Linked DNA regions of Oryctolagus cuniculus. The protein of the gene in region 1 interacts with the protein of each later gene in a pairwise test. Links are inferred from orthologs where the notes say so. Each region holds a gene or a part of one and is shown in the gene's direction. Other genes may lie near its edges.

Region 1 (3,529 bases):
CCTCTGCCTGCATCGCTGACCTCCTCTCTGGTGCCAGTTCGAGTCCTGGCTGCTCCACTTCTCTTCCAGCTCCTTGCTAATGGCCTGGGAAGGCAGTAGAAGATGGCCCAAGTCCTTGGGCCTCTGCACCCATGTGGGAGACCCAGAAGAAGCTCCTGGCTTCAGATCGGCCTGGCTGCAGCAGTTGTGGCCATTTGAGGAGTGAACTAGTGGATGGAAGACCTCTCTCTCTCTCTCTCTCTCTCTGCCTCTCTCTCTCTCTAATTCTTCATTTCAAATAAATTTAAAAATCTTAAAAAAAAAAAAGAGGCACCCTGCCGCACATGAGGCCGCGTCGTGGGCACGGTGAGAGGGCAGGCCAGCCCGGACCGCGCTGCCTGGGTCTTGCATGCAGCCGAGCAGAGGGGCAGGAACACGGCTGTAAGCCGACTCTTCAAGCCCAGCCCTGCCGCTCGGCAGCTGTGCGAGCCCTGGCGAGTTGCTCAGCTTCCCTGTGCCTCCGTTCCCTCATCCCCAAGACGAGGGTAAGAAGAGTGCCCGCCTCCCAGAGCTGTCACTGACGCAGAGCACGGAGGCGGGTGACGCTGACGCACTCGGGACTGTTGCAGACAGCAGCCGGTGCCCTGTGAGCTGGCCGGCTCTCACTGAGTTGACAGCAGTGTGGTGGAGCCACGCCCTGAAAACTGAACCGGGCAGGCACGTGCTGAGAGGCAGCGAGGAGGGTGGGGAGGGGAGGGGTCTCGGAGTTAGCATCTGAGCTGAGACTGACAGGACCAGAGGGGCGCGTGCTCAGAGGCCGAGCTGTTTTATTCCCGACAGAAAACCAGTGGAGAATTTTTAGCAGGGCACTGACCTGTCTCATTGCCGATACTGTTGCTATTTCGAGAACAGACTGCAGGGGGCAGGAGTGGGAGCAGGGAGACTAGTGTGGGGTGGCCTTGGCCTTGGCCGTGGCCACTGGTGCTCGGGCGAGGATGGGACCATGTGACCGGATTCAGGATCTAGGGGGCAGGTAGAGACGGTGCCAGCGGCCTCGCAGACTGCACGGCTTCTCAGGAGGCCTGGGACCCTGTGCAGGAGGGAGGGGCTGCAGGAGGGGCGGGCGCCTGCCGGGTGGGGGCCCCCTGACCTGACCAAGGTGCCTCTTCCTGCAGGGGCTGCATCGTGTTCTCAGGATCCTACGCCTGGGCCAACTTCACCGTCCTGGCCTTGGGCGTGTGGGCCGTGGCCCAGCGGGACTCCATTGACGCCATAAGCATGGTGAGCCTGGGCCGAGCCGGGGCCCTGCCGTGTTTCCCTCGCCCAGCCAGTCTGCTCCCTCCGCCTCGGGCCCCATTGTGCACGGGTGCAGCCTCGGAACTGAGCCTCCTGGGCTACCAGCCCGCCTGGCCTTCACTGGCCTGGCCCGCTCTGAGAACGCAGGTCTGCTCTTGCGGGCCCCAGGGAGGACGCGGGCTCCACGTGGCACCCCAGAGTGCCTGCTGTCCCCAGCAGTCGCTCATGACCCTGGGACCTGCCTCTGGGGCTCTCAGGAGGGATGTGGCCACAAGGGAAGCCCACTGCTTCGTGACATCGGCGACACAGCTCTGCTGATGGTGTGGGGCTCCCAGCACGTGCTGTGCCGGGAGGTGGTGAGCGCCCAGCAGGAGACTCTTCAGGCTGAGGCCGTGGCCTCTCAGGGTGATCAGGAAGGGAGTTTCTTTGTGGTGGAGACAGATGGGTTGGATTGCAGGGGGCCTCCGATTTGGAGGCTCTGGAACCAAGCCTGGTCCCCATCACGGCGCCAGGGGTGACGGGGAGGTGGGCAGGGCTGGGGCTGTGATGGTGCCAGCAGCCTGGGTCCAGCCCTGGGCCCTGGCATCCCCACTGGAGCCCCTCCGCAGGGGTCTGCCAGCAGGTCCTCAGCACCCGGCCAGGCGCGCGCTGCCGCAGTGGGGTGGCAGCAGGGGTACCGGGGGCGGGGCGGGCTGTCACAGGATGGCGTGTCTTGCAGTTTCTGGGTGGCTTGCTGGCCACCGTCGTCCTGGACATAATCCACCTCGGCGTCTTCTACCCGCGGTCCGGCCTCTCGGACACCAGCCGCTTCGGGGCTGGCATGGCCATCCTCAGCCTGCTCCTCAAGCCCGTCTCCTGCTACCTCGTCTACCACATGTACCAGGAGCGCGGCGGGGAGCACCTCTTCCACTCAGGTGAGGACGCCGCCCCGGCCGCTCGGTCTCCCCATCCCGGGAAGGGCAGGCACGCGACCCTTGCCAGCTGTCAGCCTGAGGCCGAGCTGGGGTGTGGCTCACTTCCCGGGGGCAGCTCTGGGCAGTCTGCGGCCTGAGGCCCGCCCTCGGTGCCCACCTGCTCCTGGCCCTGGCCCCCCTCTCCGGCACATGGGGACTCCCCGGTCCTGTGCAGAGCCCATGCTGGGTGGGCTGGGAGCGTCAGCAAAGACACCACGGCCCCGCCCAGCCCCACGCTTGCCCACGCCTGCGCTCTCAGAACCGGTCTCCCTTCTCATGGTGCTGAGCCAGTGTTCCTGCCCTCTTGATACATGACCTCACTTCCTCCCCCTCCCCTGAGAAGTGGGGAGTGGTGGGGTGTAGGCGTCTACTTTCTACTCCTGGGAACAGAGGCCTGAGTTTCCCATGATTGACCTGGGAGAGCAGCTGGGGCCCCTACCCTGGCAACCTCAGCAGTGCCTGCACCTGCCCCAGGGTGGAATGCCCGCCCATTGCACAGATGAATAAACTGAGGCCCACAGACTGGGACTTGTTCAGGATCCCAGGACAAATGTGCAGGGTGCTTGGAGGCCCACCACCCTGCCAGGGACCTGGCTCACGTCCTCTGGGCATGGCCACTGTGCAAGAATCCAGATATGGATATCTCTCCTGGATATGGTATTGCGATGTCCTGTGGCTGGCATCCGTGGGCCGGGGTCCTGAGCGCTGCTGGGAAGCATGTTCCCCGGGCCCTGCTGCCACGCTTTGAGCCAGGCTGTGTGACCTCGGCAGGGCTCTGACCCCTTGAGCCTCGGTGTCCTCACCTGCAAAGGGAGGGCGATGAAAGTACCTGCCCCGTGGGCTCATGGGGGGATTGAACAGTGCACCGTGGAGACACGGGGGGATTGAACAGTGCCCCGTGGACTCATGGGGGGATTGAACAGTGCCCCGTGGGCTCATGGGGGGGTTGAACAGTGCCCCGTGGGCTCATGGGGGGGTTGAACAGTGCCCCGTGGGCTCATGGGGGGGTTGAACAGTGCCCCGTGGACTCATGGGAGGATTGAACAGTGCCCCGTGGGCTCATGGAGGGGTTGAACAGTGCCCCGTGGACTCATGGGGGGATTGAACAGTGCCCCATGGGCTCATGGGAGGATTGAACAGTGCCCTGTGGACTCATGGGAGGATTGAACAGTGCCCCGTGTAGACACGGGGGGATTGAACAGTGCCCCGTGGGCTCATGGGGAGATTGAACAGTGCCCCGTGGAGACACGGGGGGATTGAACAGTGCCCCGTGGGCTCATGGGGGGATTGAACAGTGCCTT
Region 2 (3,529 bases), on another chromosome or scaffold:
GCGAGCAAAGACGGGATCTGCTCAGAACCCAGATGGCAGGGCAGTGTAGATGGCGCTCCAGGTAGGGCACCCGAATGAACCATCACGCAGCCTGTGAAGGGCACAGACGCACTCTGGCTGCCCTTGAGGGGGTAGGAGGGACTCTCGTCCTGCACTCTGTGAGCAGCTGTCAAGGGCTTCGCTGGGCAGGGCAGAGTTGGCTGGGGAAGGACAGGCAGCTGCGACTGCCAGGACTTCAGCCCACTGGGCCCTGCAGGGAACAGTTTTAGGAGAGGGATGGTCCCACCCAGTGTATGGTTTGGTCCAGAGGAAAGAGCACTGGACCAAGAGAAGTCAGAGTGCCCGCCCTGAGGCCTGGGTGTGCTGCGGTCACTCACCTCTCTGCACCTCAGGTTCTCTGTAGGATGTCCTGGGGCCTGGATGTGGGGACATGTGGGAAGTGGCAAGTGTCCTCCAGTCCCCACTCAGCAGTCTGAATCCTGCTGTGGGCCACTGGGAGTCACCCAGGGCCCTTGAGCCTGAGTTCTTTTCTTTTCTCTTAGCCTGGTTCAGAAGGAGAAATCGATGGAAGCAGACAGCTGGAGTTTGACGTGGAACTGGTCAGTATGAGTGTGGAGCCCTTACTGACCCTGTCCCCTCTCTTTCAGCCCTGGAGCATGGCTGCCATGTTGGGAGATGCCATCATGCTGGCCAAAGGCCTCATCAAGCTGACCCGGGTGGCCCTGGAGACCCACCTGCAGCACTTGGGCCTTGGTGGGGAGCTCATCCTGGCAGCCAGGGCCCTACAGTCCACGGCTGTGGAGCAGATTGGCATGGTCTTTGGGACAGAACAGGTAAGAGGGCCTCTCTCAGGAAGTGGAAGGGGCCCTGGCAAGAAGAGGCCTGGAACTTGGGCTTTTGGCGAGACCAAGGGGTGTGAAGCAGGACAAAGACAGCTGGCCTTGCCTGGAGGAGAGAGCCCAGCAGCTGGCGTGTCCCCTCCTTCCAGGGTGGGGCGGGCTCCCTGTGCGAGGCCCTGGCTGCTGTAACAGAATGCTGCAGACGGAAGGGGGCTTAAGCTGCAAACATTTATTTGTCATGCTTCTGGAGGCTGGAGAGAGTTCCAGATTAAGGCACCAGAAGATTGATACCTGGTGAGGACGCGTTTCCTGACATACATACCGTCTTCTCAGTGTCCTGACTCAGCAGAGAGGACAGGGGCGCTTTCTGTTTTTTTTTTTTTTTTTTTTTTTTTTTTTTTTTTTTTTTTTTTTAAGGATTTATTTTATTTTTCTGAAAGGCACAGTTACAGAGAGAAGAGGAGAGACACAAAGCTCTTCCGTCCATTGGTTCACTCCCCAAATGGCTTCGATGGCTGGGGATGCATCATGCCAAAGCCAGGAGCTTTTTCTGGGTCTCTCTCACACGTGTATAGGGGCCCAAGCATTTGGGCTATCTTCTGCTGCTTTCCCAGGTGTGTTAGCAGGGAGCTGGGTCAGAAGTGGAGCAGCCGGGACTTGAACTGGCAGGCACATGGGATGCTAGCCTTGAAGGCGGCAGCTTTGTTTGCTATGCCACAGTGCCAGTCCTTGCCTCTTGTCAGAGGGCCTGAGTCCTGTGTGTGTGAGTTCCACCCTCACAACTTAATTGCCTCCCACCTAATGTCATATGGGGGTTAGGTTCCAAAACTTGAATTAGGGGGCACATGTGTGCAGCCTATAAAGGGGCTCCTGTGTCGATCAGCCTGGCTCAGTCTTCGGAGCCTCTTCCCATGGGCCTGCTGAGCCCCAGCCAAGGCCTGGCCCTGGGTTCCTCTTTGCTTTTGCCAGGTGTCTCTGGATGCCTGACTTGGGCGCCCTGCTCCTTTCCAGGCTGATGGCTATTACGGCCCTGCTGAAGGCAGCCAATCCTCCAGCCTCTTGCACTGCCTAGGGGAGGGGATTCCCTTTTGTGCGAAGGTCCAGGAGCGTTGACTCTTATGTGCTAGGCACGGTGTTAAGTGAACACAAGTGCTGCAGGGGTGACGCTGAGCCCAGCTGGCCGCAGCAGAGCACTGTGCATGGGTTGCCACCCTGCGTCCCTGGCCTGAGGGCATGGGTGCAGGTGCATGGGCCCATGCAGCCTAGCAGTTACATGGCAGGGGCTGCCCTGTCTCCTCCCTCCTTCTGTTTTGTGGTTGGCTGGCCTCCTGGACAAAGGACATGTTGCTGTCCCTGCCCTGTCTCATTGTTGCCTCTAGGCACTGGCAGCTTTGGAATGCTCAGCCACTCCCCTCCTGTTGTCCCGGGCATCAGTGTTTTCTTGACCACACATGGGTTTCTTTACTCTTTAGAGAACTTCACACTGGTGTCTCACTGCTGACCTAGGCCCGGGACAGCCCAGATCCCAGATGCTCACTCCTATTTCTCACATGAAGCTGACACCAACAGGTTTGCTATGAGACCTGTGACTATTAAGAGACAAGACCAGAATCCTTGTCATTGTCCCTGCCCTGGCCATCACTGCTGAGGCTGGGCTGTGACCCAGCCACTGTATTTGGTGCTGTTTGTGGTGAGCAGCAGTTGCCTTCCTGTTGGGAGTTTTGCCTAGAAAGTGAGGTTGCCCCATTTACCGTGGCTGGTCCAGAAGTGAGGCTGCATGCCAGGACTGGGCAGCCTTGGCCATGAGGATGAGGGCCTCCTGCTGACCTCTGCTCCCTCAGGCCTAGCGTGCCCTGGAGGCAGGATGGTGATCATCCACTATCACAGAGGAGGTGCCTGGGTGAAGAGACTGTTTCGACTGTTTTTCTGCCTTCGGTGCCCTAAACACTGAGGTAGTTGGAGGCTCCCTCCTCCCCATGGGTTCCACCACTGTGGGGACCTGTCTGCCTCTAGCTCCTGGGCTGTGTGCACGTAGACTCAGTGTGTCGGGTCCCGCTGGGCGACCCCGACTGCCCATGTGCCCCCCCACCACAGTGCTGGTGATTTAGTGTCGGGCAGCCGCCGTGGCAGTTACAGGGCAGGAGGAGGGGCCTGTGCTGCGGCGCCCAGGGCCCTGTCCCATGCTCCTCACTGGCTGCTGGGAGGTGCCCAGTGGGCTCAAACGCGACCCGTTGCTACTGCAGCAAATCTGCTGTTAGTTGGCCCCAGGGGTGGCCAGAGGACAAGCCTCAGCTTTGAAGCCCTGCCCTGCCGTTGGCTGACTCGTGGCCTTACCAGTCATGGCAACTCCCAGCCTCAGTCTCCATTGGTGAAATGATGGTGACAGCCAGGCTCTGTCCTCCCACAGGAGAGTGCGTCTGATCTCTTCAGGGCCTCCGATATCTTGGAAAGCTGAGACCGAGAGGACTTTGGATCTCTGGCTGTTTGTGCATGACCTGCAGGTGGCCCTTTGGGGTTATTCCATTTCAGTTAAATGGGGGATCCAGGCCACTGGCTTCCCTCCAGGAGTCGGTCAGTCCTAATAATAGCCTCCTCAGGCAGTGTCCCTGACCCTGGCCCCGCATAACTCTAGGACTTGGGGGAGACCTAGTCCTATTTTCAGATGAACCAGTAGCTCAAGGTCACTCCAG
Region 3 (3,286 bases), on another chromosome or scaffold:
AGAAATCCCACAGGGCCTTAGCTTCCTGGTCTGTAACGGGCAGAGGCTCAGCTCAGTTTCCAGCTGCAGAGTAGCAGGGCTCACTTGTCTACAAAATCATCTGCCTGTGACTTTGGGCCCTCATGGGCCTTGATCTCTGCCAGATGCTCAAGTCACCCTAACATCCTTTGCTTAGAGTAGGGACCCGGGGTGAGGCATTCCCAGCTCACCAGGGCCTGGGGGGAAGCTCCCGTCACAGGTTTCCAACTGCCACCCGTGTGGCTTTGCTCTTGTGCAGTGAGTCTGACAGTGACCTTGAGCCTGCAGGGGCAGGAATTCAGCTCCTTCAGAAGTTGTCCCAGAAGCTGGATAAAGCCATAGTGGCTGAAGACAGGTGAGTGGGCAGCCCCTGAGCCACTCCGTCTTTGCAGGCTGGCATCTGGCTGTGGCTCGGACCTGCTGGGTGGCTCTGGCCAGCCCCTGCCCCTCCTGACCGCAGCCGTGAGAAGGGACAGAGCCTTGGGAGGGGAGGTGTGGCGGTGGGGGAGGGTTCCCTGGGCCTTGGCAGCCCACGCTTCAATCAGCCGGGCCTCACGTGCGGCCAGGAACTGGGTTCCTGGAAGACCTGCTCCTCCACCAGTGCTCTCTGGGGCTCTACGCCCTGCCTGTCTGCGGTGCTGGGCAGAGGGCCATGGCTGCCTGCGGCTTCCCGGGCTGTGCATTCAGGACCAACTTGGGGCCATTTCCCCATTGGAATGATGGCCCAGAGTGGCCGTGGAACCCCCACGTTTCCAGGCTGGCGGGGCCCTCAAACCTGCAGCCCCCAGCAGCGTCAATCCCTCCCCTTCCCATCCCCAGTGGCGACATGACCGTCTCTCTCCTCCGCAACTAAGGACGGTGCCCTGCAGGTAAGGCCCTCTGCCCACACATCTTTCTAGCATCTTTCTCCCCCACCTCCACGCGTGAGCATGCATGCATACTTGAAGAAACGAGTCTTTTTTGGAAAACCTCAGAGTGGATGGGCACAGGAGAGCAGGGACTGTACCAGTCCCCCTGGCTGCTCGGGGCCAGAACTGCTAACCCAGCATACAGGGGCCCCCACACCGGGGGACAGCCATCGTGTGCCCCACTTGCCCTGCCCTGAACACAGCAAGGGCACCAAGGGAGCTCTGTCTTGCAGGGAACAAGCCCCGTGTGGCACCACACCCAGGACGTCTGGGCCACCCCGTGAGGCCCTGGAGGAAGCCCCCAGGAGGCCCCAACCCTCCAGCCTGCTGCTAACGAGCACCTGACGAACAGAGGGCCCCGGAGCTCCCCTGCACTGGCCACCTCTAGGCCTGTTGCCTGCCACAGCCAGCGGCGACTTGGGGCCTTGCAGACATGGAAGAAATTGTTTCTTCTGCTCTGCTCCCCCAGGGGACTCTCGGGCTTAGAAATTCATCCCCTCCTCGAGCCCTGGGGCTGCTTCCTCCAGTGTGACGCGCAGGCACTGGGGGTGCGGCAGGGCCTGGGCCCTGCACCCAGAAGCAGGGTCCCTGGGGGGTTGTCCCAGCTTCCATTCCTGCTCCCCGCACCAGGGCCCTGGAGGAAGGGACAGGAGATGTCTCCGGGCGCTAGGACCCTGGGCTCCCGGCCACCTACTGATACGTTCAGCATAGGGCACTGTGGGTGTGCAGGGAGGGTGGCCCTCTGTAAGTTATTTAAGAAATCTGCTTTGTCATTTTATTAGAAAGGAATCCGTGTACGACTTTCCCAGACGACAGCGCCTGCTCCTAATAAAGACTCATTGTGCATCAGACTCCGTGCCCGTGACCCCCACCGCTTGGTGCCTCCCAGCCCTCCCCCTCCAAGCTGGCCTGCCCCGCCCCCAGCTAAGGGACACACAAGTACAGGGCCTGGCGCCTCAACTGAGCTCAGAGCAGAGTACGTTTTAAAGGCAAATAAGGTTTTTATTTAATCGACAACGTTTGAGATTTGTTAAAAACCAGCTCACATCAAAATCGAGACCCGTTGTAAAAATCTTTTAACTCCATAATGCTGTTTTTTGTCATGTTAGAAATCTGGTGTTTTACATTTTCTGTTCTAACGGATTGTGTACAGGCAGCCGCAAGGAATCTAACAAACCTTTTCTCACCACGGAACCGTCCGGCACAGAGAGTACTGAACGTCACACACTTGGGAACGGTCAGGCCACGGACAAGGTCGGACTGGCTGCCACCACAGAGTAAACAATTAGGACAGCGGGGTCGAGGGTGGGGGTCCCCGCGCGCGAGCAGCCCTCCTCCCGTCTCTCCCTCCGCAGTGCGTCCTGGAGGGCCTGGCCGACTTCCCTCGCCCCCTCCCCGCTGTCTCAGCAAGGACAGCAGAGCCCACCAGGCCTCTCTGCTTGGACTTGATCCTAGCTGGGATGTGTAAGAAAGTCCCCTCCCCCCACCAAGCCCAGAAAGGAAGGGGAGGGGAGGAGGTTTGTTTTTGGCTGAGCCAAAGATTCTAGGTTTCCAGGGCACTTGGCCCCCCACCCCCCTGGGATTCGGTGAGAAATTGGTTGTTTAAGGCCAGGTGGACTGTGATGCTCCTTCATCGGCAGGGAGCCCCTCCTGGGCGGGGCTGCACCTGCGCTGGGCGAGATGGTAGGGATGCAAAACCCGAACCAGCTCTGGCCCCGGGTCCACCTGCCTTGGCGGGGTGCCGCTGCTGCGGGAAGACTGGTGCCGTGTTTTGTCTGTAGGACACTGGCACAGGCTCCAGAGTGGTAAAAATGCAGTTAAAAAAAAAAAAAAAAAAAAACAGCACATGAGATCTGGTCCTCCCCTCATTTCTAAGAGCCCCCATGCCCCCTGTCTTCCCCTTCTCCACTAGAAATCTCTGGGCTTCGAATGCCCTCACTGTAGCCAGGCACCAAGACAGAGGGCTGTCGACCCAAATGCAGGAAAGGAATCTACCTTTTTCTTTTTTTTAATATTTTGCGGAGCCTAACAGAGGAGTCGCGATCTTTAGGGGAAAAAAATCCATGATGCTGGAAGAGCAGGCCCTGGCCAGGAATGCACCCTGAACCCCAACAGGACAATGACAGAAGAAGGTGGCAGGGGCGTCCTTGGCCAGGACAGCCCCAGCGTGGGGAAGAACAAACATGCCACGTGAAAAACGAGGAGCTTTGGTCAGGCAGGAAGAGCTGTCCCCCAGCTGCTGTGAGCAGGTGCGCCAGGGGCTGGAAGGGTTCTCTAGGAAACAGCCGGTCTGCTCTGGCCACAGAGCTACGCGTGGGGAGGCCATTCCCGAGAGCCGCAAGTGCAGTTCTGCGGGCTTT
Region 4 (4,279 bases), on another chromosome or scaffold:
GCTGCCACCTATGAGCAAATCAAGGTGGGGCCCTGCTCGGTCCCTAAGTGAAGGCAGAGGGAATCCTCCTAGCCAGCTTGTCACCCTTCCCTGAGGGCCGGAGCGGGAGCGAGTGTCGGGAGGAACCCTGGTGGTGGAGGGGAACGGGGCGGGGGTGGTGGGGTGGGGTCCACTCTGTCCTTGTCTCAACCCCCCTCCCCCCCCCCCCCCCGGTGCTCTCAGTGTCTCAAAGCCGAGGATGTGGCCGAGGCTGTCATCTACGTCCTCAGCACCCCTCCGCATGTCCAGGTGAGTGTCTTCGGGTGTCCGCACCTTGGAGGAGCCCAGGCGTCCCCGGAGGAGGGGAGCCGGGAGGTCGGACGGGCGCGGGGAGAGTGTCTGGGCTGCCCCCCGCCTGTGCCTTCCACAGATCGGAGACATCCAGATGAGACCCACGGAGCAGATGTCCTAGAGCCCGCAGGGAGCTCCTCCCTCCCCACCCCGCGAGGCTTGGCTCCTGCCTCTGGATTTCAGATTCTGATTGCTGCACCCTGGGTCCCGTTCCTGCCCCCACTCCCCCAAGGGCTAGAACATTTGTTGGAGGTTTTTGTATCACTTTGTCAAATTGTTTCCATAGCAAAGGTGATGGGCTGGGGCGGGGAGGTGGTGCCCAGGTCATTTCTCTGTCGGGCTTGTCGGGCTTGTTGGGCTTGTTCTCGCCCCTCGCCCCTCACCTTGGCTCCTTCGCCTTTGCTGTCCTCAGTCTCTTCCCTTTGATCTGGGAACGGGGCTGTGGCCCAAAGCGGGACTGCTCCTGTCTTCTTGTCCGCCAGCCCCTGGCCCTCAGGGTGCTGGTGGTGGAGGGAGGCCCTCACTTTCTATCTGAGTGGTTATCCTGGGCCCCAGGCTTCCTCCTCTCCCTGCCCCCGCTCTCCCTCCAGTGTTGGCATCTGGGCTGCTGCTGGGGTCATCACCACCTCTGCCTGTGGCAGCAGTGTCAGGCCCAGCTCCCAGAGGATCTCACTGTGATCATTAAAGAAAAATCACACCAACCAGCCTCGGCTTCAGAAGTGTGTCTCCGTTCTGCGGCTCTGTGGTTAAGGAAGGTCCTGCCTTCCCCCTGAGTGTGGATGGTCTCAGGTGGGCTCAAGATTGGGGGGGAGGGTGTTCCTGCTGCATCTTCACAATGGGCAGGAATTTGCCAAAGACACAGAGAAGGCAGCCGGGTGTGCAAGGCTGGAGGCAGAAGAGCACCAGCACTGTGCAGACACAGGAGTAGGTGCAGTACGGGGCGGGCTGGAAAGGGTGGCTCCTGTCTGGATCCCTGGGGGTAGGCCAAGGGCACCAGCTAGCTTGTCAGCAGGCAGTCACAGGCCCAGAGCTGCCACGCTGGAAGACAATCAGTGGCCAAGGAACAGGAGGTGTGACAAAAAGCCTGGGGGAAGCCACCAGCCCCTGAAGCGGGGAGGGAGGCGCCGAGACTGGCTCCGTCGAACGGGACGATCATCTCATCCTCTTGAGGTGTCTCTTGCTGGTGTGTGGTAAATGCAGCCCCCGGCCCCCTCGCCCCAAACCTCCTGGGACCTCGAAGGTCACAGCAGAGTGAGCCACACCTTGGAGCGCCGCTCAGCCAGCCCCGCAGAGGGCGCTGTGGGGACGCCCTGGGGGCCGGGCATGCGCGAGACGCCGCCAGGCCGGGGGCGGGGCCGCCCGAACGCGGAAGCTCGGGAGGCATGGAGCCGGGCTTGTGGCTCTGCGGAGCGGCTCTGGGTAGTCTCGGAGCTGGGTTCCGGCTGGGGCAGCCGTCGCCTCCCCTGCTTCCCAGTGCCCAAGAGTGAGCCCCAGGGAGCGGGTAACCGCAGCGGGGCCATGGGATTGCTCCCGGCCGTCCGGGGCGCGACCCGGGGCTGCTCTGGTCGCCTCGTGACCCGCGCTGTCTCCCAGGAGGCGCGGCGTGGGGTGCGGCCGGGTGGGGAGGAGCTCGGCCGCCTGCGGCTGGATGACCTGGCGCCGGCTCCGCGGCTAGAGCTGCTGTTTGGCCTGTCCCCGTGTCTCCTGGCCCTGCGGGCCGCCCGCCGCCGCGTGGCGCGGCTTCTGCTCCAGGCCGGGAGGGCCGGGCTGCAGGGGGAGCGCGCGGAGCTGCTCCGGGCAGCCGAGGCGCGGGGCATCCCGGTTCTGCGGCCCAGACGGCAAAAGCTGGACGCCCTGTGCCGCCAGCAGGTCCACCAGGGCGTCTGCATGGAGGTGAGCCCTCTGCAGCCCCAGCCCTGGACTGAGACCATGGGGGCGGGCCCAGGTGCCGACCCCCAGCAGCTGTGGCTCGTTCTCGACGGGCTCCAGGATCCCCGGAATCTTGGGGCCGTGCTGCGCTCCGCTCACTTCCTTGGAGTGGATAAGGTCATCACCAGCCGGAGAAGCAGGCACGATGTCCCTTACTCCCCGTGTGCAGTGGGAAGCGCCCGGGACGGGAAGGGCGCCGGCCCGAGACTGCCCAGCCTAATGCGGGGATTGGGGCACCTTGCAGCTGCCCGCTCACCCCGGTAGTCAGCAAGGCCAGCGCAGGGGCAATGGAGGTGATGGACGTGTTCTCTACGGATGACCTGGCCGGTTTTCTACAGGTAATGGCGAGAGGGGAAGGTGTGGAAGTGAGGCCAGCCGAGCCTCTTCCAGGGCGTTCTGCCAGCAGATAACGGGGGAAGGGACAGAGCAGGGGACCTGTTGGCTTTGCTTGCTAAGGCCTCGTAGTCCCCTTTCGGAAGGGAAGCGTCCCGGAGTATTTCAGGCACAGAGCGAGCCCTGTCTGAAGGTGGGGGCTTGGCGCGTTATTGCCTCCTGCACTGCTTCCCTAGGCTTACAGCTCTGCCTCCTCTGTAAGCCTACTGCGGCGTCTCATCCCCTACCTAGCAGATCTTAGCAAGTGCTTGTTATTCAGCCGTGGGCAGCAAGTGGACAGGAAGGCTGGGCCCCTGGAGTAGGGGCACTACCCGAAAGGATCTGTGAACAAAGGGAGCTTTAGCCTTTGATACCCAGGAAGGGACCACATCTAAAGAAACTCTTGGCCGTGGTGTGTGTGTGTGGAGGGGGGGTGTCCGTGCACCTGTCTTTAGCTGTACTTCTCTGGCTGGGCACCAGGGGGCAGTATTGCTCCACACTTGGCAGCCCCTCTGGCGAGCTTGGCGTGTGTGTGTGTGTGTGTGTGTGTGTGTGTGTGTGGCACAAGGGTGTTCAATAACTAACCGCATACGTAATTTAAGATTTTCTGGTAACTATGTTGAAAAATAAAAAAAGGTGAAAATAATCTTATAATGTGTTTCTTCCAGAATTATCCAGCATTAAAATTAATATCCATCCAGTATTAGATTATAATTTTAACGTATAATCATTGTAAATATTATTAGAGTACTTTGTAGTTATATGTATCAAATTCAACATGCAGCACATGTCAGTTTGGACTAGCCACGTTGCAGGTGCCTCATCACCACGTGTAGCTCGAGGCTGCTTAATGCAGAACCGCGAGTGTGTCTGGAGGCGTCTCCTGGCTTTACCTTCTTATAGGAGCCTCCTTTGGAGGAGCTCTGGCCAAGCCTGGTCGGAAGCGGTGTTCGCTGGCCTCACTTCCAGCCCCTGAACAAGTAGCCCCTGAAAAGACGGGAGACACTTGGCAGAGCCCTCCTGTGAGCCCCAGACGGCACCCCGACCTCTTCCTGCCAGCATCCGGGCCAGGACTCGGTCCGCCCTCCCGCTGCTGGGGAAGACCTGCTCGGAGGGGCCGGAGGGGCCGGTGCTGGCCCCGCTGCTGTCAGGGTCCGCCCCTGTCGCAGCCGCCCTCTCTCTCAGTGGCCGGCAGGCATACGTGCCCCCCCATCACATACTGAGCCCAAGCCTTGTCCAGGTCCCCAGTGCCCCCCTTGTTGCTACAGCCAAGTGTGCCTTCTCGGTCCTCTCTGACTCGCGCTGTCCACAGTGTCTGCACAGATGACCGTGCCTCCCTCCTTGAAACGCTGGTCACCTGGGCTTCCGCCTGCCTTGCTCTGCACTCCCTTGGAGTTGCCTTCGGTGGTTCCTCCTGAACCCCTTGACCGCCAAACATCAGCGGGCCCCAGGTCTCAGCCCTTCGACGTCTGGACAGACTCATTTCTGGGAGTGTCCACTCGTCTGAAGACACGAAACGTCGCCTGTCTTCCGCTACCGCCCACGTGCACCTCCCAGCCTGGGTCGCTCATCCAGTGGCCTGCCCCACCCCCCAGCTCGCCCTTTGCCGTCTCATGGGCGTTTCAGACTTGACGTTTCCTGAGCACTG
Region 5 (3,529 bases), on another chromosome or scaffold:
CTAGCAGAGAGCTGGATCGGAAGAGGAGCAACCGGGACTCAAACCGGTGCCCAAATGAGATGCTGACACTGCCAGGTGGTGGCTTTACCTGCTACGCCACAGCATTGACTCCTTGCTTCCTATTTCTTTTTAAAAAAGGATTTACTTAGTTATTCAAAAGATAGAAATATAGAGGAGAGGGGCCAGTACTGTGGCACAGTAGGTTAATCCTCTGCCTGTGGATCCGGCATCCCATATGGGTGCTGGTTCTAGTCCCGGCTGCTCCTTTTCCCATCCAGCTCTCTGCTATGGCCTGGGAAAACAGTAGAAGATGGCACAAGTCCTTGGGCCACTGCACCCAAGTGGGAGACCTGGAAGAAGCTCCTGGCTCCTGGCTTTGGATCGGCGCAGCTCTGGCTGTTGCGGCCATTTGGGGAGTGAACCAACGGAAGGAAGACCTTTCTTTTTGTCTTTCCCTCTCATTGTCTGTAACTCTACCTCTCAAATAAATAAATAAAAATCTTTAAAAAAAAAAGAAATATAGAATAGAAAGAGGTCGTCTATCCACTGGTTTGCTCCCCAAATGGCCACAGTGATCAGGGCTGAACCAGGTAGAAGCCAGGAGCCAGAAGCTTCATCTAGGTCTCCCATGTGGGTGCTGGGGCCTGAGGACTTGGACCATCCTCTGTTGCTTTCCCAGGCACATCATCAGGGAGCTGGATAGGAAGTGGAGCAGCTGGGACTTGAACAGGTGCCCATATGGGATGCCAGCACTGCAGGTAGAGGCTTAACCTATGCCTCAGCGCCAGCCCTACCTCCTTATTTTTTATAAATTTGAAAAAAAGAAGTGTATTCCATCTTCTCATCTACTCCCAAAATGCCTGGAACATCTGGGGTTGGGCCAGACCAAAACTAGCAGCCTAGAATTCAGTCTCCCATGTGGGTGGCTGGGACCCAAGTACTTGAGCCATCACCCACTGTCTTCTAAGGTGTGCCCTGGCAGGAAGCTGGTTTGGAAGTAGAGGCAAGACTTGAACCCATGCACTCCAGTATTGGATGTGAGCATCTTAAGTGGTGGGCCAAATGCCTGCCTCAGGGTAAAGTTTCTCAGATGTGTTTTTCCCCTTGACATATATTAATAGATGATGACCATTTACATAACACCCTCCTGCAAATGTATGCAAGTTCTTAAAGTTGTTCTGTTGTAAAAAGAAGTTACAGCACCACTCACTGTCTTTCCCTTTGAGAGGGTGGCATGTATTTTAACTGTGGAGAATTACTGCTTTCGACTGATGGTCACTGACTTTTATTCAGGCTTAGAAAATTCAGTTAATTTTTCTTGTCACTTACAAGTTATTTTAACTTTACTTTTTAAAACCTAGGTTCCTTTGGTGGCATCCGATTATACCTGCAGGAGTTGATTACCATTACCCAGAAGGCTTTACAGTCTCAGTCCTGGAAAATGAAAGCCCAGGGTGCAATTGCCATGGCATCAATTGCAAAACAAACCAGCTCCCTAGTGCCTCCCTACCTAGGAATGGTCCTGAGTGCACTGCTGCAAGGCCTGGCTGGGAGAACGTGGGCCGGGAAGGTAAAGAACCATTCGTGCCCTGTTACATCACAGGGTTCCTGAAACGCTTATGACTCCGTTTTGTTTTCTATAAACGGGTGCACTTCATCTAATTAACTGTGATAGTTCATCTGAAAGTGTAACCCGTGTGTCTGACTAATACAGAGTAATGATGGAGATTGATTTATTTCACATATTCAGCCTCCAAGTTGTTTAAACCAGGTTGTCATTATTTTGTGTTTGTTGGCATTATGATCAGGTCCAGGCTGGGCATAAATGATTAGCAAGACAAGCTTGTTTCACACGTAGGGCCTGTAAGTTAGTAGCAGTCATTCTTCCACAAGGGCTGTAGTAAGATACATGCAGTGGACAGTCTGCAGGGCACATGAGCTTGTGGTAGCATCTGAATATAATGAAGAATCGCATGTAGAAGTCAGTGGTGGCCAATGATGCGGAGTTGTCTGATTCCTTTATCCAGTATCTTCTTCACATGTGTCTTACTCTGTGGTACTTGTGCCCGTGTGACCTGGGTCACATCTGTTCACTTGGCCTTGAGGGGGATGTCAGCAACTCATGGGGAAGTGGAATCAAAAGATAATGTGCATTTCCAAGAACTTTCTGAAGACCCTTCCTAGGAAATGGAGAGCATCCGTGGTTGGGAGTCAGAGTCAGTGGGTGTGCCTGTGACAGTGAAGTGCGTTAAGGATAAGATGACTCTTGTGAATTTCTGTTATCACAGTTACTAACTATTCCAAGTTGAGTGAACATGGAGAAAGTGTAAATGACATGTTTGAGTTAATGCTATTTTGTCTTCTACCAACTCCTTAGGAAGAGCTACTGAAAGCCATTGCCTGTGTGGTGACAGCTTGCAGGTAACTGTTCTATCCCTCAAGATAGCATTGCTTAAACGGAGCCTGAACGCTTCAGCCTTTATTAATGGTTTTCTTATTTTTTGTGGATCGTACAGTGCAGAGCTAGAGAAGTCCGTGCCCAATCAACCCAGCACGAATGAAATTCTTCAGGCTGTTCTGAAGGAGTGTTGCAAAGAGAATCTCAAGTACAAGATTGTAGCAATCAGCTGTGCAGCTGATGTCTTGAAGGCCACCAAAGAAGACAGATTCCAGGAGTTTTCTGACATTGTCATACCTCTCATAAAGAAGGTAATAATCACTTATATTCTCTCTCGTCTGGTTTATACTTAAAAAAAATTTTCCTGTGTCGTGAGTGCTTGTTTTATTAGTATTAGTTTAGCTGCAAATAGCAGAAAAATCTCAAAATATCATGGGCAGTTTGTCTCTTACTAGTAGTTGGGGGCCTCACAAAGTCTTCTGGGATTCTGGCTCCTTGCAGCTCCCAACTCCGCCATCCCTGGGGAATGGCATTGTCCTGTCTTTGTTCTCAGCAGGTGCTGGCAGAGGAGACAAAGCAGTCACAGTGGATGTGTCAGTTCTTTCTTAAGGAGAGTTCTGGAAGCTGCCTTCTGGTACTTGGTCATATCACATTGGCCAGTGCTTGGCCATGTGGCCACCCTTGGTGGCAATTGAAGCTAGGGAAAGGGGCAAGTGGATTTGTAGTATCGTAATGACCTTTGCCTTGGTGTGTCTGCAGAATCCACCCCAGTTACCTTAGAGAGTGAAGACAGGAAGCCAGTGTGTCATGGCGATTGCCTCTGCTGTGCACTGAGGGATTTTGGTTAAAACAAAACAAAACTGGTGTCATTTGGAAAATGAATACTCATGTTTAAAGGTTGGACATTGAGAGGAAGAAGAATGTAGTTTACCTATTTGTGAAGCATTAACTATTTGAAATTGCATTTGTAACATTTTTGTTGCAAATTTGCAGTTGTTTCCTTTCAGTAATTAGGCTGCTTAGATAATTTGTTACATGCATAATGACAGTGGATGGATTTGGGAGACTGGTGTCTTAGTAGGTTCTGTCACCAGTTGTCTGGATGAGTTGCTTCTGGCCTCTGTTTCCCTT
Region 6 (4,196 bases), on another chromosome or scaffold:
CCGCCCTTGGGCAGCCAAGGCAGCGGCGGCCCTGAGTCAGCGGCCGGCTGGGCCGTGAGACCCCCGGGGCGGCGGTGCGCAGGCCCGCAGCGCCCACGCCCTCCCCCGGCCTGGGCCCGCGCCGCTCGGGCTCGGCCTTCCCGCGGGGGGACGCTGGGCGGAGGCCCGGGGTGCCGGCTGCGGGCTGCGGTGGGGAGGCCCGCAGAGCCCCGGCCGCCGCCCGCAGTGTGGCCGGAGGCGGGCGAGGTGGTGCCCGCGCCGAGCCCGGATCGCCGCTCACCTTGAAGTCGTTGCCGCTGAGGTCCACGCCGCGCACGAACGGCAGCACCCCGGTGGCCTCCATGGCGGCGCCGCTCTCGCTGCCGGGCCGGCCGGGCGCTGGGGGCGGCTCGGGAGCCGCGGGCTGGGCCAGCGCCGACTCCGCCCCGTTAACCCGCCCGCGCCCGCCGCCGCCGGCACCTCGGGCCTCGCCGGGGCCCGGGGCCTTGCGCTCTGGGGACCTCGCCGGGGCCCTGGGCCTTGCGCTCTGGGGACCTCGCCGGGGCCCGGGGCCTTGCGCTCTGGGGACCTCGCCGGGGCCCTGGGCCTTGCGCTCTGGGGACCTCGCCGGGGCCCGGGGCCTTGCGCTCTGGGGACCTCGCCGGGGCCCTGGGCCTTGCGCTCTGGGGACCTCGCCGGGGCCCGGGGGCCTTGCGCTCTGGGGGCCTCGCACTCTGCGTCCGCGCACAAGGGGTCCCCGGCGGTCTCCGTGCGGAGCCGGGGCGGCCCCACCTTCCTCACCCTACCAAGGTGGTGGCCGGCAGCGAGTGACCACGCGCGCACGTGCGGCTCGAAGCACGCAGCAGGTGCTTGGTGCGTGGCAGGTGGTTCTCATTAAGGCCCGCATGCAAACCACCCTTCCCAGGGGCGCTGCCTACGTCCCCATTGTACGGCACGGGAAACTGAGGCCCAGGCGGACAGAGGGCAGGCCCAGGGACGCACGGGGCCGGCGGCACACCCCCTACCCCGCGCGCAGACAGGTGCTAAGGCGCTCCCGCAAAGGTGACTTAGGGGTCGGCGTGCAGGCCTTTGGACCAGGTGCTACCACCCGTCTGCCCGGCCAGAGGAAGGAAACTGGGGCCCAGCCAGCTTCCTCCACGCGGGAGGCTCACATCACACACGCACACGCGCACGCATCCCCCGCGCCTCTGTGGGCTCCAAGCAGGCACCACGCAAACGTTGCGGGCCCAATAATGCAGCCCTGCGCCTTTAAATCCGGAGTGCCCCCGGAAAGCCCCGCCTCCGAGGGAGCGCGCAGGGCGGAGAAGGGGCGTGGCAGGCCCCTCATTGGCCGAACCTCGCAGTGTTTTGGAACGCCCCTGAAGAAGCCGAGCGCTCCGATTGGAGCTAGGGCCTGCTCGTCTGCCTACGCCAGCGCCTCGGCCTTCGGGGCCCGGGTCCTTCACGTTCCATCCGCAGGCGGGTTCCGGCGCCGGGTCCCGGCGGGCCCGCTGCGTGGTCCGGTCGGTGTGTGGACGCCGCGACGCAGGTACGGCTGGGAGCCCGGCGGGGCCTCCCCGACAACCCGCATCCCGGGTCCCCCAGCCCTAGGTGTGGCGCACGTCCGGGGGCGGGGCCCGGGAGGATTCCTGTGAGCCCCGAGTTCGAGTCCCGGCCCTGCCGTTCCCGGCTCGGGTGCTTGACTGGGTTTCCCAAGGCCTCCGTTGTCCTCGCCTGTGAACCGGCCCACCGAGGGACTGCCGCGCCGGCCTGGTAAGCCCGGGCCCAGCGCCGGCGGCTTGCGGGTTATTTTTAACTGCTCGGTTCCTGCGCGCCCCCCACCCCTTAGGTGGCACGGAGCCCTCGCTGGGGCAGGTGCGCGTGCGCTGGAGGGGTGGGCATTTCAAGTGCTTTACGCACTTGGCAGCGTGGAGGCCTGGGGGCCGATGGCAGCGCTGGTCCGTGGCCGGGGCCGCGGGGGTCAGCCGGCTGGCCCGTGACCTCCCCCAGGACGCCGGAGCCCCGTCTTATTTTTAGTCTGGCGCTAAGAGGCAGGTGTCCCGGGCTGAGTCACACAGAGCTTCGGGCTCCAGCTGCCCCGGGCAGTGGGGGGGCAGGGCACCCAGGGCGCAGCAGGAGGGCGGGCCGTGACCTCGCCGTCCAACGCTGAGGCTCCCGGGTGCCCTTGGCCACCCGTCCCCTGCACCCTCAGGGCCCGAGGTCAGGGTGGGCGTGGGCCTTCTCTGCCTCCACTCGGGCACTGCTCACCTCCTACCAGCTGGGCTGTGGCTCCAGGCCTGCATCTGGCTTAGCATCCTGCAGCCAACCCCCACCCCCCGACCCCGCCCCGACCTCTTGAGGAGCCGGCCACAGCCAGGAGGCCCTGCCCCCCCATCCCCTACCCTGACCTTGTGCTGAGCCGGCCACAGCCAGGGGGCCCTCTCTTTGGGGTCTTCATCTTTGGAGTTCCCTGCTCAATGCCCTTCTACATGATGGCTCCTGGCAGCCCGGACCCTCTGCCAGGGGCCTCCGTGTGAGCCCCCTTTGCCAGGGGCTGGGTTATTGGCCGGTTTGGGGAGGGGTCGTGGCTGCTCCCCCGGCTCCGTGCAGGAAGCCCTGCTAGCAGCCCCTGACTCACGAGGAATCTTCCAGAAGCTCCTCCTTGTGGACCCCAGAGCCCCTGTGCCTGCCCAGCCAGGTGCCCTCCCCGCCCCACCCCCACCCCGCAGCTACCCCGCGCCCCCGGCTCCCCTGCAGGTGGACCATGGCGGAGTTCTCCCAGAAGCGGGGGAAGCGGCGTGGCGGCGAGGGCCTGGGCGGCGCCGTGGACTTCCTCCTGGCCAACGCCCGCCTGGTGCTGGGTGTGGGCGGCGCGGCTGTGCTGGGCATTGCCACACTGGCCGTGAAGCGGGTAAGGCCGGGCTGGCGGGGGCTGGGGCTTGGTCATGGCTGCCGGCCGCCAGGTGCCCTGCTCAGCGCCGCTCTGCCCGCAGCTCATCGACAGGGCCACCGGCCCCCGGGACGAGGATGACGCCAAGGGGGACGGCTGGACGGAGCTGAGCCTGCTCAAGGCCACGCCGCACCAGCAGCCCCGGCCCCCACCTGCCGCCCTCAGCCTGCCCGAGCCACGCCGGCCCCCTGCCCCCTCCACGCCAGGTGAGCCGGAGCCTGCGCCCGGGTCCCTGCTCAGGCTGTTGGAGCTGTGTGGCCAGGGTGCTGGGATGCGGTCGGGTTCCCGCAGTGCATTGTGGGCTGCTCTGACGTGTCCCCCTTGCCTCTGCAGAGGGGCCCGCGGACGCCGGTCCCCAGCCGCCGCCTCTGCTCAGCCCCCCGGCCCCGCTGTGCCTGACCTTCCAGGAGAAGCTGCTGGCATTCGAGCAGGCCCACGTGGCCATCCCCGAGGCCCAGGTGGCCTTGGCCAAGCAGCTGGCCGGCGACATCGCCCTGGAGCTGCAGGCCTACCTGCGGAACAAGTTTCCCGAGCTGCCCTTTGGGGCCCTCGTGCCCGGCGGGCCGCTCTACGACGGGCTGCAGGCCGGGGCCGCCGACCAGGACCACGTGCGCCTCTCGGTGCCGCTGGCGCTGGAGCCGGGCCTCTGGAGCCTGGTGCCCGGCGTGGACACCGTGGCCAGGGACCCTCGCTGCTGGGCCGTGCGCAGGACTCAGCTGGAGTTCCGCCCCCGCGGCAGCAGCCCCTGGGACCGCTTCCTGGTGGGCGGCTACCTGTCCTCCCGCCTCCTGCTGGGTCTGCTGCGCAAGGCGCTCACCGCCTCCGTCAACTGGCCGGCCATCAGCGGGCTGCTCGGGTGCCTGATCCGGCCCAGCGTGGCCTCGGAGGAGCTGCTGCTGGAGGTGCGGCACGAACGCCTGGAGCTCACCGTGGCTGTGCTCCTGGCCGTCGCCGGGGCCGGCACGGGCGCCGACTGCCAGCTCCTGGCCTGGCCCCTGGAGGGGCTGGCTGGGAACCTCTGGCTGCACGACCTGTACCCCAAGGAGGCTGCCCGACTGCGGGCCCTGGATGAGCAGGACGCCGGCAGCCGGCGGCGGCTGCTGCTGCTGCTATGTGGCGTCTGCCGTGGCCACCCCGCCCTGGCCCGCCTGGGCCGGGGGCCCCTGACGCAGGTGGTCCTGCGGGCGGGGGAGCAGGACGTGGACTGGACCGAGGCGGCCCTGGGGGAGCGCTTCCTGCAGGCCCTGGAGCTGCTGCTCCAGAGCCT
Region 7 (4,263 bases), on another chromosome or scaffold:
TAAGTGGGATCCCTGTCCCACGCACACACACTCATCTCCAGGAACCCTGAGACCCCCTCCCCACTCTCCCTGCTGTGTAACGGGTCCCCATTCGCCAGGCCCCCAGTGGTATGGCTTTGATTCTTGCAACCGAAGGAGCCAATTAAGATACCTAAGCCGGTTAAAGGGAGCGCCGGGACGAGCCTCCAGCTTCGGCCACGTGCTATCAACTGGCCACTTCCACCCTGGCCACCTTCCTACACCTGGGCCCTTCAGAAAGCTCACGGGAAAACAGAAATAAAAGGAAGACAACTTATCCGGAGGCAGTCACTTGAAAACCAAGCCGTGACTTTTTTTTTTTTCCAGGGTGTGCATTTTGAAGAGCCCCGCGCCCGCAGCGCACTGGTCCTGTCTTCACCACCGGCAGCGCGCGCGTTCAGCACCCACACCTGGCCCTGACCTTGCGCCCAAGACCCGAGCCAGCTGCGGCTCTCGCCGGGGCGCCAGGGCGCCGCACTCGGGCAGGGCGTCACGCTCTCCCCGGCGGCTCCCCGCCCGCCAAGGGCTCTGGGTCGGGGGGACACCCGCGCCTGCAGCCCTCCCCGGCCCCCGCCGCCCGCCGGGTCACCTGTAGTTGTAGGCGCTGAAATGCTTGCTCTCTCTCAGCATCGCCCGGTACAGATCTAACACTTGTGCGCGGCTGGAGGCTGCCATTTTGGATTAAAAAAAAAAAAAATACGAATACACGGGTCCTCCTAGCGGAGGTCCCGAGTGGAACCCGAGCCACCAAGCTGCAGCGTGCGCAAGAGCCACGGAGCAAACGCAAGGCGGCGGGCCGGTCCTGCTAGCGGGCCGGGCCTCGACCTGGGCGTGCACCGCCGGGGAGGCGGGCGCAGGCAGGGCTTCGGGCACCTAAGGGGGCGGCGCCCGCGCCTCGTCCCGGACGCTCCGGGGCTCGGCGGCGGGCGGGAGAGGGACGGGAAGGCGGCCGCCTGCGGGGCAACACTAGGCCTTGGGAGCGGAGAGCTGGGGCCGCCTTGGCGCCGAGCCCCGCTCCTCGGAGGCGGAAGTCGGAGGCTCGAGTCCTGAGGGCGCGCAGCCCGAGCCCGGGGCGCCTTCGCGAACCGGCCGGGTGCGTGGCGGCGACATTGGCGTCCCGGGGCGCAGGGCCCGGTCACAGCGGCGGGCGCGCTGAGGGCCGCGTTGCCCGGGTAACCGAGCGCTCGCCGCGCCGCCGCCCCACCCCCGCCGCCGGAGGCTGTCCTCCGCGCTGCCTGACACGCGGTGCTGATTTCGCGGGGAAATTTGACTTGGGCCGACCCCGGTCGGCGAGCCTGGTTTTCAAGGCGTTCATTGCGTGGGGAGAGTGCGGCGGGATGGGCGTGGAGGTGGCAGGCTGGGTGATGGCGACTCCCTTGGCGATCCGGCTCCGCTCGGGGCAGCCTCCCTCGGGGCCTCTAGACAAGGCCCCTTCTCCGTCAAAATGGCGGCGCCCAGCACGCACGGGCGCCCCTGCGTTTGGGCATCCGCCGGTTACCACTGAGAGTGGGCGATCTGCCGCGCTTCTGATTTGAACTCTCACGGCTCTGGGTTTCCCAGTGGAGCTGTGGGTGAGTGCCCCTCTCGCTGCCGCGTCGGGGTGTGACATGGGCCGCAGGTGTAGCAACGACTTGACTTTTGGACGTATCGTTTCACATTTCCGGGATGTTGCTGGGGGCTGGTGATTTTTTTTTTTTAAACTTTGATGTGTAGAGTCCTCGGAAATTTGTAATTTAATAAATGTATTAGGAAGGCGAGGCAGCTGGACTGTAGACGCTGGTGCTTAATTGGGACGAGGGGGCTGCGGGCACTCATTTGACGTCCCAGGGGAGAAGCTAAGCAGGTATTCTCCCGTGGGTTTATCTCAGAAGACTTAACTTTGCTGAGCCGCCTCGTGACGTGGTGGACAAAGTCGCACCTTCTGGTCCTTGTGCTCGAGGCTGGACGAAGGGAGTCCTGAGCCAGGTGTCGTGGTTGCAAAGCGCTTTCCTTTTCCGGAATCTTTATATAACCATCGTTAGGAAGAGCCGCGGCTTTCTGCGCGCGAAAGACCGCAAGCAGTGTCTTCGAACGTGAAAGCCAAGTTTGCACGGGCATCCGTCTGCGCCGTCACAGAGCCTCGGTTGTCTGCGTCTGTCGTATTTCTGGGCTTTAAGCGACACTTGCTCTGTGCAGCAGCAACTTGTATTTGCAGAAAACACCTGTTTGACTTTTCCGCACTCTGGCGTATTTGCAGCCCTGGGTCCTTGCCCCAAGTCCTGGTGCAATGGCATTGTTTCAGAGAGCGGATAGAATATACTCTCATTAAGAACCTTTTAAGCCTCTTGTCTGATTTCTGTAAGTTTTCAGACATCTAGGCGTCTCACAGCAGGTTTCTGTTTCTGATTTTAAAACATGCTAGCAAAACTGTCAGGCCACTGCCTCAGGTAAGAGGCAAGAGCTTTTAATAGTTGTTTTCCTTTAGGCGTTTCTCAGAGGATCCAGGACCAAGTAGATAGAATAAGGCCCAGACCTCTTTCCTCTTAGGATACGCTGTTGTGTGCTGATGCTGTAAAATAAGTGACAACTGGGAAAAACTACGCCAGTAATGTAAGTTACGGGTCAAGCTAACCATCACACTGAGAAGGAAAAACAGAATAATTTTGGTTTCCTTAAAAGTGCTGGAGATTACATTGTTGTCTTTTGCTTTCATCTGAAAGTAAGATTGGCGTAAATTCTTCATGCAGTTGCTTTATTTATGCATAATCATCAGTGAATTCAGTGATTGATACGTGTAGTGTACTAAATGGCCTTTGTGGTGATGAGCGTTGTCTAAAGAAATACGTAATGTTTACATTATTTGGGGAGCCTGGGTCACCTGTGAGGACAGAGAGGTTGAGGTTAGCAAAGTGACAGCTTTCCAGTGCTGAGTTTGTGGGACACCGTGGATTTGGACCAGGTTGCTGCACTGGGCCCACAGACCAAACCAATAGAAACTTAATCACAGTAAATGACTGTGGGTTGGTTGTAGAGGCCCGTGTAGCCAATTACTACTTAGGCTGAAGCCAGTTGAGTGTGTGTTGATTGAGTAAGCTGCAGCCAGGTGGATCCTGTTCTCTGCTCCTCTTCGTTTTCTGTAAACGTTGTCCCATCAGATGGGTGGTGGAGTTCTCAGAGGTTGCTTTGGTTCTGGGAGCTACCCAACTTGAGAATCGTTTCGTCCTGTTATTTTTTGGTCGTCTTAACCTCATTCTACTGAATTTAATTAGCCTAAAAAATTTCCCCTTTAAAACCAGTTGATACTATGCTTTACAGAAGTGTTTAACTTGAAACGATTTACTGGTGTATTGGCTGTCATTGTCTTGAAAGAATAAAAAATGCATTCTGAAGCGAAATCTGTATTTTTGTGTATCTTCATTGCAGAGGCAACTATCTTTATTATATTTCAAGCAAAAAGTCTATTTGAGATAGAGTTGGACCAGCAGCTGAGGCTGGACCTTACTCACATGTCCTTCAATGTACCTTTTACTCTGAGCTGGGGTTTTTCTTGGGTAATAACCATAAACTAAGGGGTAACCACCCACTATGACCCAGGCCTGAAAATGTGAAAATTTTCGTAATTCTCAGTTGTCCGTGGTTCTCAGCCGCCTGTTCTTCACTACGTAGGTCCATGTGTCACCTGACGTAAAAGACAGCCTTGTCAGTAAACCCTTACACTTTGTGAATAGGAATCTCTCTAACCATAATAAGCAGCGGTTTAACATTCAGCTTAATGACCAAAATGACGTGTAAAGGAAATGTTGTCTGGAAGAAGTAACTCGTGTACTACATGGAAGTTATCCTGCCCCTGCGTGGACCTGGATCTTCACTGCAAACTCGTTTTTGCTGATCTCCCATGTTGACAGGCTGTGGAGCTGGAAGACACATCACAGAGAGGCTCACTGGCTCGCACAGCTGAGCAAGCTGAAGCCCTGCCCTCCTCCGGCAGCACTCACTGCTCATTTTGAAGTGCCAGCCTTTACGTCAGAAGATGTAGTTACATTGATGAGCATATGGGGAACTAGGTGAACGGTAATTTATTGTTGACAGGTGCTTTGATCATGGTGATATTTCCAGATATTAAGGGAGTACAAAAAAGACATTCAACCAGGACTTTGCCCGAAACCAAAGCTTTCCTCTTAGGAAACAGATAGGGGAAGCCAGATGAACGATGTGTAAGTTAGAGATTGCTGTGTATTAAGCAGCGCATGGGGGCTTGAGGAAGTA

The links.
Region 2: the proteins of AGTRAP (region 1) and COQ8A interact in binary tests that used the Homo sapiens proteins (3 or more experiments, as listed by UniProt). The two-hybrid records come from large-scale screens. The link is inferred for Oryctolagus cuniculus from reciprocal best matches to the Homo sapiens genes AGTRAP and COQ8A.
Region 3: the proteins of AGTRAP (region 1) and PIMREG interact in binary tests that used the Homo sapiens proteins (3 or more experiments, as listed by UniProt). The two-hybrid records come from large-scale screens. The link is inferred for Oryctolagus cuniculus from reciprocal best matches to the Homo sapiens genes AGTRAP and PIMREG.
Region 4: the proteins of AGTRAP (region 1) and MRM1 interact in binary tests that used the Homo sapiens proteins (3 or more experiments, as listed by UniProt). The two-hybrid records come from large-scale screens. The link is inferred for Oryctolagus cuniculus from reciprocal best matches to the Homo sapiens genes AGTRAP and MRM1.
Region 5: the proteins of AGTRAP (region 1) and ECPAS interact in binary tests that used the Homo sapiens proteins (3 or more experiments, as listed by UniProt). The two-hybrid records come from large-scale screens. The link is inferred for Oryctolagus cuniculus from reciprocal best matches to the Homo sapiens genes AGTRAP and ECPAS.
Region 6: the proteins of AGTRAP (region 1) and MIEF2 interact in binary tests that used the Homo sapiens proteins (3 or more experiments, as listed by UniProt). The two-hybrid records come from large-scale screens. The link is inferred for Oryctolagus cuniculus from reciprocal best matches to the Homo sapiens genes AGTRAP and MIEF2.
Region 7: the proteins of AGTRAP (region 1) and FARS2 interact in binary tests that used the Homo sapiens proteins (3 or more experiments, as listed by UniProt). The two-hybrid records come from large-scale screens. The link is inferred for Oryctolagus cuniculus from reciprocal best matches to the Homo sapiens genes AGTRAP and FARS2.

The regions. Positions count from the first base shown.
Region 1 is NC_091438.1:156,693,232-156,696,760, reverse strand, and holds part of AGTRAP (type-1 angiotensin II receptor-associated protein), read left to right. Parts: intron 1-1,154; coding exon 1,155-1,260; intron 1,261-1,993; coding exon 1,994-2,189; intron 2,190-3,529. UniProt on the Homo sapiens protein: Appears to be a negative regulator of type-1 angiotensin II receptor-mediated signaling by regulating receptor internalization as well as mechanism of receptor desensitization such as phosphorylation.
Region 2 is NC_091444.1:67,507,684-67,511,212, reverse strand, and holds part of COQ8A (atypical kinase COQ8A, mitochondrial), read left to right. Parts: intron 1-647; 5' UTR 648-656; coding exon 657-833; intron 834-3,529. UniProt on the Homo sapiens protein: Atypical kinase involved in the biosynthesis of coenzyme Q, also named ubiquinone, an essential lipid-soluble electron transporter for aerobic cellular respiration.
Region 3 is NC_091448.1:50,099,729-50,103,014, reverse strand, and holds the end of PIMREG (protein PIMREG), read left to right. Parts: intron 1-277; coding exon 278-373; intron 374-837; coding exon 838-871; 3' UTR 872-887; intron 888-1,159; 3' UTR 1,160-2,771; downstream 2,772-3,286. UniProt on the Homo sapiens protein: During mitosis, may play a role in the control of metaphase-to-anaphase transition.
Region 4 is NC_091448.1:37,350,428-37,354,706, forward strand, and holds the start of MRM1 (rRNA methyltransferase 1, mitochondrial), read left to right. Parts: upstream 1-1,478; 5' UTR 1,479-1,524; coding exon 1,525-2,399; intron 2,400-2,503; coding exon 2,504-2,597; intron 2,598-4,279. Other genes in the region: DHRS11 (dehydrogenase/reductase SDR family member 11), read left to right, coding at 1-24, 223-288, 410-451. UniProt on the Homo sapiens protein: S-adenosyl-L-methionine-dependent 2'-O-ribose methyltransferase that catalyzes the formation of 2'-O-methylguanosine at position 1145 (Gm1145) in the 16S mitochondrial large subunit ribosomal RNA (mtLSU rRNA), a universally conserved modification in the peptidyl transferase domain of the mtLSU rRNA.
Region 5 is NC_091432.1:214,968,991-214,972,519, reverse strand, and holds part of ECPAS (proteasome adapter and scaffold protein ECM29), read left to right. Parts: intron 1-1,361; coding exon 1,362-1,570; intron 1,571-2,377; coding exon 2,378-2,421; intron 2,422-2,516; coding exon 2,517-2,709; intron 2,710-3,529. UniProt on the Homo sapiens protein: Adapter/scaffolding protein that binds to the 26S proteasome, motor proteins and other compartment specific proteins. May couple the proteasome to different compartments including endosome, endoplasmic reticulum and centrosome.
Region 6 is NC_091448.1:62,264,221-62,268,416, reverse strand, and holds the start of MIEF2 (mitochondrial dynamics protein MID49), read left to right. Parts: upstream 1-1,372; 5' UTR 1,373-1,528; exon of another isoform or gene 1,529-1,752; intron 1,753-2,736; 5' UTR 2,737-2,743; coding exon 2,744-2,890; intron 2,891-2,972; coding exon 2,973-3,135; intron 3,136-3,262; coding exon 3,263-4,196. Other genes in the region: FLII (protein flightless-1 homolog), read right to left, coding at 281-343. UniProt on the Homo sapiens protein: Mitochondrial outer membrane protein involved in the regulation of mitochondrial organization.
Region 7 is NC_091436.1:165,173,103-165,177,365, reverse strand, and holds the start of FARS2 (phenylalanine--tRNA ligase, mitochondrial), read left to right. Parts: upstream 1-1,436; 5' UTR 1,437-1,589; intron 1,590-4,263. Other genes in the region: LYRM4 (LYR motif-containing protein 4), read right to left, coding at 608-693. UniProt on the Homo sapiens protein: Is responsible for the charging of tRNA(Phe) with phenylalanine in mitochondrial translation.